2 linked regions of the Oreochromis niloticus genome follow. The protein of the gene in region 1 purifies or fractionates together with the protein of each later gene. This does not show direct contact. Links are inferred from orthologs where the notes say so. Each region holds a gene or a part of one and is shown on either strand. Other genes may lie near its edges.

Region 1 (3,920 bases):
TTACTGCTGTGCTTGGCATCATTGATCTGTTTCGTGACCCAATTTCAGCCAAGATTTAGCTGAAACTGCACATTTGATTCTAGAACACTTTGGTATACAGAGGACTTCATGGTTGACTCAGTGACTGCAAGGTGCACATGTCCTGTGGCTGCAAAACAAACCCAAATCATCAGCATCATCCATCAATAAGCTTGACAGTTAGTGTGAGCCGCTTGTATTAACATGCTGTTTAGTTTTCCCCGAACATGGTACAGCGTATTATTATTACCAAACATTTGCTCTTTGGTCTCATCAGTCCAAAAGGCGCTGTTCCAGGAGTCTTGTGATTTTTTTCAGATCCAACTTTGTAACCTAAGCTGTGCTGCTCTGCTCTTTTTAGAGAGAAGAAGCTTTCTCTTTCAGCCTTTCCAGACACGTCATGCTGTAGCATCTGAGATGTAGAGCTCGCATTGCTCAGCCTCTCATTGTGGTTAATTTGCTGGTACATCCTGGGATATGTTTGTCATCGTGTTAACACATAGCTGAATCCTCCAGCTAAAACCTCTGTTTTTACTGAGGTGCTCAAACTTGCTGATGATCAGTAAACCAAGTGCATTTGCAGATGGCTTAGTCTGCTTAGTTTTTCACGATACTACATATACGTTATATTGAGTTTTAAGACTTAGACGCTTTTCTTTTTTACCAACTTCGCATTTGTTTTAGTATTCTAAAGAAGACGTGCTTATTGCTTGGATTATTTTGTATTTCCAGTATATTTTACAGATGCCAAAATGCCCCAGTACTGCACAGAAGTTGTAAGCAAACATAAAAATTTTGGCTACTACAGAAATGCTAGCAGTTAACATCTTATAGGCAAAAAGTTCCTGTCTCGAGACCAGGAGGAAAAACAAGCCCAGTCTGAGGGGCTCACGAGATGGTGTACTCCTAGTGCCGTTCCCAAGCAAGAGTAATTGGAAGGGATGTGTTAGGAAGCAAAACTGTCCCAAATCAAATATGAGCATCCAAACACTCTGGGGATCCTGTGGGAAATAAGGGAGGGACAGGAAGTACTACTGTCAGTACTTTAAGATGATGACTTTAGTTGCCACCAGTGAACATAGACCAGACCATGTAGGGAATTTCAAGTCTTTAAAAGCTACACTGTCTAAAGACCTGAATCAGCAGTGGGGAAGTGGATGGTGTTTTATTTGATACATTTTATTCTGCAGTGGGAAAATGTCACCATGTGCATTCAGTGTTATCAGTGAATGCACACGGCTATCCCTTGTCGACAACATAGCTTCAGTGTTGAAGAGAGAAATATCAGCATATGCTCTTTAACAGCCAATCTCTCGGTAAACTGAGAGAGACAGTGGGTGGAACTTCAATGCAGTGGTGCCAGTAACATCAACCGTTAAATATGTTAACGCTGAGCCTGAAATGCGGTTGAATATTAAATCGGTAGAAAGAAAAAGAGGAAAGTTCCCTCATAATACTTCTGTTTCTTAACCGCGGTAAGCTATAAATTGCTCAATATGTTATGTACAGGATTATTGCAGTTGCTTCTTCTCAAGATACGAGTGCACTGCAGTTGCAATTTTGTAAAAGTCCTGCAAATTTTGTCACATACCAGAAACACCTCTTGACAGGATAGCCATTTAATGCAGTACGGCTCAACGGGAACACAAAGCTGCCATAGTTTGTGTGGCAGCTATATACTTGCCTGAGATGGTTCAAAGGTTTGAACCATAAGTTTAATGCAGAGCTATTTAATGTAATTATAGTTATGAAAATAATTATATGTAAAATAATCCTTTGTTATGATGCAGGATCAGTGCACAAATAACATAATAACCACAGAGTCTTGGATGTTAAGCTAGTTCGTCCGAACATGTTTTCTTTTTTAATGTTTGTTCTTTAACAGAAGCCTTGTGAAAAGTGACCGGCTGAGAAATGACAGAGGAAGAGGAACCACGATTTCTATTTACAGTGTGATGAAAAGTGCAGAGCAAAGGTGCCTTGCTTAATCAAGCTGACACAAAACCCAGAACCACCAGCCCCAACTGTTAGGTTTAACTTTCCTGTTTTTTACACAGTGCGTGAAAAGAAAATTGGGACAAAAATGCTTAAAATATCAAACTATTTTTAACAAGTATTTTTAACACCTGGTTTGAATTCGGCATTTTACTTTACTTAACTTTAACAATCACCGAAATGAACATAGTGCAGCTTATGTTGACTGCTCAGAATACAAATATGACAACTCTGCTTTTGTCAGTGTGCACACATTAACTCGCTCAGAAAATGAAAATGTACCAGCTTGTAATAATAATCAAGTATGGCTGACTTCTAAAAGATACCAAAGCCTATGTTATCCTGTCACGATAAGCCGTCTAAAACGCACATAACAACAGTTCAGCAGTTTCAAGAGCAAGTTTCTTCTGTTAAATCCACAGTGCCCACTTACAGTATTTCAATCATTTAAAATGTGACGATTAATCATTAAAGTTTCTTAAGTTTTACTCACCATCTTGTGGACAACTTTCCCAGGCGGAGAGTTGGTCAACAACTGGTTGGTGGATAAAGGAGAGTGTTTGTTCAGTGTTTGTTCAGTGCCTCTGTGCGAGTTTCTGTTTCTGTCACAGAGAGAAAGGCACTGAGATAGTGACTGTTGATAGTGAATGACAAAGAGTGTGGCTGAGCATTGAGCATGTATGTCTGAGGGGGGGGGTGTATACTCCCGTTCTTTCGGTGACATAAGCATCTGTCTACAACTGACTACTTCCTCTCTTAGTAGTATGTGTGTTTTGTGTGACTGTGGGTGTCACAACTTCTGTTATCTCCGTGTTTTGATCTCATTGATTTGCCTATCCCTGGCAAATTCCCTGCAGTTTCCCTCTGTGCTTAACAAATGATGTTCACTCAGTCAGAGGCAGGTCAAAATGAAAAAACAAAACAAAACAGCCACAGTCAAAACTGTTCCATAGCAACTGTGTTAAAGAAGTGTTATAGCTTGTATGATGAAAAGGTTTTTGGTCAGCAGTGCGAGAAGACAACAAGCCATAGCCAATGAACAACATTAGTAGACAGCACAGGAAACATTGTGGTCATATGAGCGGCGCAAAGAAAAGACAAGCATATAAGACCAGCGTACATCCATGCTAGTGGCTCTTTGAAGCCATAGAAGTGCTTTGAGCTAAATCAGAAGTGCCACAATTCAGTTCACAGAGGGGCAAACTGGTAAATGACAATCACATAAAGGGCCAAGCTTATATATATTGAATTTATCACATTGCCTCATGTACTTTATGCAATTGTGTTTTCACACACTTACACTTTAAGTTTATCTTATCATGTTTTCAAATGATAAGTCAGTGGTTTTATGGGAAATTTCATAAATATGAAGAAAAAGACCTTCGATGGTGTTACTTACATACACTATTCAGAGTTCTGACATGAAAATTGGCTGCATGTAAGGATTTAAGAATTGTAAATGCACAGTGTAGTTTTTCTGTTGTGAGAAAGTGAGCTTTACAGCTTCACTAAAAGAATACTTATAGTACGGTGCTTCATTTAGAAAACCTCTGTTAATGCTTCATGGCTTAGGTGTTGTTGTGGGTGTGTGGATTCAAAATGGCAATGATGATTACAAATAATCTTGTAGGAAATGCACAAGGGTAAAGAAGTAATTTATGTAGTCTGCCACTTCTTCATGAATTGTCTGCCTTCAGCATTAGCAGTCTTCTTTTTTGCCAGTCTTTATTAGCTAGCTTATTACTCTGCATGTCCAGTGTCTGGGGTACCTTTTGCTAAATTTTGCAAGCGCATATGTAACTGCAGGCGATAGCTACAGCTGGGTGGACCGAAATTTAATCAGAAGATTAAATGATAAGTAAAATTTGCAGAGAAGTTTCAGTTTCAGCATGCTAACAGCTAATAAG
Region 2 (3,920 bases), on another chromosome or scaffold:
ATCATGCACCTCTGCCATGGTGCTGCATGGTCCTGATTCACTGAGCCATGTGACCTCAGGGAAGGAGGAGGAAGCAGACGAGGGGCTTTCCTGAGCTAAACTTAGTGTGAAGAAGTGAAACATGAGCGCATCCATCACTCCATCCCTATCTCCAGTTTGTATGGAGACACATTAGTGCCAAAGCATCCATGAGCCCAATGATCTCAGTTTATCGTTTCATTTAAAACTGGCGTTTTAAAACAGATCATCAGTGTCATTGCACCGGCTCGCCCTCTGAAGTATGAGCTCTGTGTTTGCTCTTTCATATAAAATCAAATGTTGGTCCTGTGATAAATAAGCTCTTGAAGAACAACCACAGGTCTAACAACGTGGGACAGGTCCGTGTGTCCCCTCTCCCGCGCTGCAGGTTAGCATCGTGCTGCTCAAACATGAGGGCAACACAGAGCTGCAGGCTTTGACCTGAGCGCTGAGAACGAGCCGGACGCTCCCTGTCCATGATTGGCTGGGATGGACCACCTCCATCATGGTGGAGCTGTAACCTGCACGTGTGGACGGCACGCCGAGCAGGTTTCTGGGAGTGTTCCTGAGGCTCATCTGCTGAAGCTCACGGTCATCGGCCTCGTCCCACAGAGATTCCTCCAGGTTCTCTGAGTATGCAGATGAGGTCACGCTGCGTAGATGATGAGCTGTTCACGGTGAGGAACATGATTCAGGTTGGTGAAGCTCTGCCTCTCTGAGAGCCTCTTTTTATCCCCGATCATGTGACCGAGCTGCTGACAGGTCACATGATCAGCTGGTAAATCTTCTCTTCAGCACGAGCTTTTCTGAGACGGCTCGTTCTCTCACTTTAATCTTTTGTTTTCTGTGTTCGATCACGAATAAAATATGAGCTCTTGTTTTCGTCCCGACTTTTTCAGGTTTGTTCTGAGAGCTGCAGTTCCTCTGACGTGCAGCAGAGGCAGCAGTGAGCCCGTCCCCATAGACCCCCATGTTAAACAGCAGAAGTAAACATTTCACAGCCCGACACACAAACTGTTTGGGTAAACAATACTTTTACTTTGAATACTTGGAGTACATTTTTCAGAGCGTGCAGAGGTGGCTTGACTGCACAGATGCATGCTGGGTAACGGCCTTGGCCTTCAGCACTGATGGAGGTCCTCCGTCGGGCTGACCTGGGGTCGGGGCGGTGCCAGCTGATCCGGGGTTCGTTTGTTCCTCTGTTTGGCATTTCGACAGCGTCGCTGCAGCGAGTGGGTGCAGCTGCAGACGCTGTTCCGCTCTGTGGTCAGACGGGGGGTGGGGGTGATGCTGCCTTCATCCATCCCCCACTTCACTTCCTCTGAGTAAGAGAGAGAGAGGAAAGAGAGACGCAGAGAGAGAGAGACTGAAGGAGTGGAGGAGGAGGAAGCCATTTTGGGCCCGAGTGACATGTCTGCCTGCTCTTTGCTGCCTGCGCTGCCGGACGGACGCTCGTGCAGTTAGACCGGACGACTCGGTTTGGGGAAGTAAAAGCTGAGACGCTCGCAGCTCTTTGCTTTTCTGTCTTTCAGAGACGTCTGAGTCTTCACAGGAAGCGGCGGCGAGGCCCATTAGTCAGACGGTGGGCTGAAGGAGAACAACGGCGCAGAAACTACGAGCCCGATCACTTCCTCCGAGGCCGAGGAGCGAGCTCAAAGATCGCCTCCTTCTCTCAGATGTTAGCGTGCTCTGGGTCTGACAGCAGCCGGGCTGACGTCGTGCCTTTGAGCATCGAGCAGGATGAGTTCGGACCGCATGCCGTCCAGGTCGGACGTGATGGGGTGGAGCCCGCAGCAGCTGGCGGACTACCTGAGAAGGGTGAGGCCTCCATCCGTACTGTTCGTGCGTCCTCGTGTATGTCTTCGTTTTAAGTTCCTCGGGATCCTCCGAGCGGCGGGGTCAGCTGACTCATGCTCAGACGGCGCCGTGACCCAAACCAGAACGTTAGTGAGCACAAACAGCAGAGGCTCAGGTGAGCTGCTGCACCTGCCCGACACGGAGCTCGATGACACGTGGCGACCGCAGCTTCAGTGTTTGATGCCCTGTGTTTGGAACGTTGGCGTAGCGTGCTGATCAACAACATTTCAGTAAAGCTCTGGCTTAGACCTCGCTGTTAGTGCTGTGACCTCAGTGATGATGTCATTCAAAATGCAGAGGTGCAGTTCAGACGCTCAGTCAAACAATGGTAATAATGCAAACTTTCATGCGATTCAAACAGGTGAGGCTATTTATTTCTGAAGCGTCAGACGTGCAGCTGGCTTCATGTGTCAGCCCGATGCTTCAGGTGCTTTGTGCACCTGTAATTAAAGGCTGGACTGAGTAACTGTGGTTGTCTCTGCCACCGCTCAGCGTGATTGCATACAGCTTTCCTGCTGATCGCAGAGATGGTGACATTTTTCTGCAGAAGTTCAAACACTGTGACGTAACGACTCAGAGAAACAGCGGCTTTAACGAGGAAGTGTTTGTGATGCGTTTGGATAAAAGTCCCCGAGAACAGGGACAAAGGCAGCCGGGTGTCAGCAGCAGCAGCGTTAGCCGTTAGCTGCTCGCGTCTGAAGGCGGCTGCATGAAGAGGAGTGAGATGTGACAAACTGCTGGGTTTCCCCTTCCTGTGCATCTCTTATAATCTAAACAGTTTGTCTTACTTCAACTGACTTTAACATCTGATCACGACTGATTATTTTTAGGTCACTTAGCAGCAGTTTGATGGTACAAAGTATCGGAGCAGGCAGGTGGAGCAGATGAAAGCTGTACGTTGGCGCAGAGCCGCAGGAAGTGTCGTTATTTTCCATTTGGGGTTTGATGAGGTTATTTAAGGCCTACGGTGTTTCAGCATGCGTGCTCTCAGCGGAGGCAAAAATAGCAACAGGTGGGAGATAATAACTGTAACTTGTTACAGACGCGGCCAAACATTCAAATCATGGGGTGAACCGTAGAAGAAATCCCTGTGGGCTTATTTTCACTCTGAATGTCTCCTCACTGATCTCTGCACAACAAGCCTGCGGGACGTTCGCTCAGCGGAGACGCTTCAGTCCCGTGCAGACCGTCCACCTCCTCCCAGCATCCTCCTCTGTCACACTCTGTGCATGTCCTCCTTCACTACATCCATGAACCTCCTCTGAGCTCCACCTTTATCCTCCATCTTCCAAACCACCTCAGCCACTCTGATGCACTCGTCTCTTATCTCCATCTTCCACCTACTCCACCCTGCCTGCACTCTGTGCTTCATCAGCATAAAAGACTGGTTCTATCAGCGCGACACAACGTTTCCGAGCGATTCTTTTATAGCGTCTGATGTCAGAGGCTTTTAATGATTGGTGGATGCAGCCCACAGACTCCTTTACCACTCAGGCTGCATCATGTTCATTTATCAAATCTGTTCAAACGTGGGCTCGTTCTGCACCAAGAAGAAGAATCGCCTTGACAACACGACACGTGGAAAAGAGGCTGATGCCTGTTTGTGTCGAACCAGCTCTGTGAGCTCATCTCACTGATGCTGACGAGCTGCTCGTGCTTGGCTATTTTTTGAGAATCAGCAGGAAAGCTGAGGAAATCTGTGTGGGACAAAATGACGCTAACGCTTTAGTCCCGTCCATAACCAGTTACAGCTGAAAGTCTGGAGTGAGGCGGTGTGGCCAGCAACTGTGACATCAGAAACTGATTCTTATCTTTGCTTTGCGTCACTGCGTGTGTTAGTTTAGATGTTTCACATTCACAGAATCGTCTGCGGAGAACATCACGTCCATATGTGAGGAAGAATCAGTATTTCCTGGAAGACAAAAAAGAATCGCATAAGAAACAGTGATAATAAAATAATAATAATAAATAGATGTGTTCATATTTGAATGATATGTCAGCTGTGACGTCCCTGTTACAGATGAGTCTGTCCGGCTGTGACAAAG

What was found.
Region 2: the proteins of fyb1b (region 1) and lcp2a purify together in Homo sapiens (co-immunoprecipitation; 6 studies listed by BioGRID and IntAct, with this or other methods). This does not show direct contact. The link is inferred for Oreochromis niloticus from reciprocal best matches to the Homo sapiens genes FYB1 and LCP2.

Annotation. Positions count from the first base shown.
Region 1 is NC_031972.2:23,608,333-23,612,252, reverse strand, and holds the start of fyb1b (FYN-binding protein 1), read right to left. Parts: upstream 2,759-3,920; 5' UTR 2,744-2,758; coding exon 2,507-2,743; intron 1-2,506. UniProt on the Homo sapiens protein: Acts as an adapter protein of the FYN and LCP2 signaling cascades in T-cells. May play a role in linking T-cell signaling to remodeling of the actin cytoskeleton. Modulates the expression of IL2. Involved in platelet activation.
Region 2 is NC_031975.2:32,937,848-32,941,767, forward strand, and holds the start of lcp2a (lymphocyte cytosolic protein 2a), read left to right. Parts: upstream 1-1,078; 5' UTR 1,079-1,758; coding exon 1,759-1,836; intron 1,837-3,895; coding exon 3,896-3,920. UniProt on the Homo sapiens protein: Adapter protein primarily involved in signaling pathways within T-cells, as well as other immune cells such as platelets, mast cells, and natural killer (NK) cells.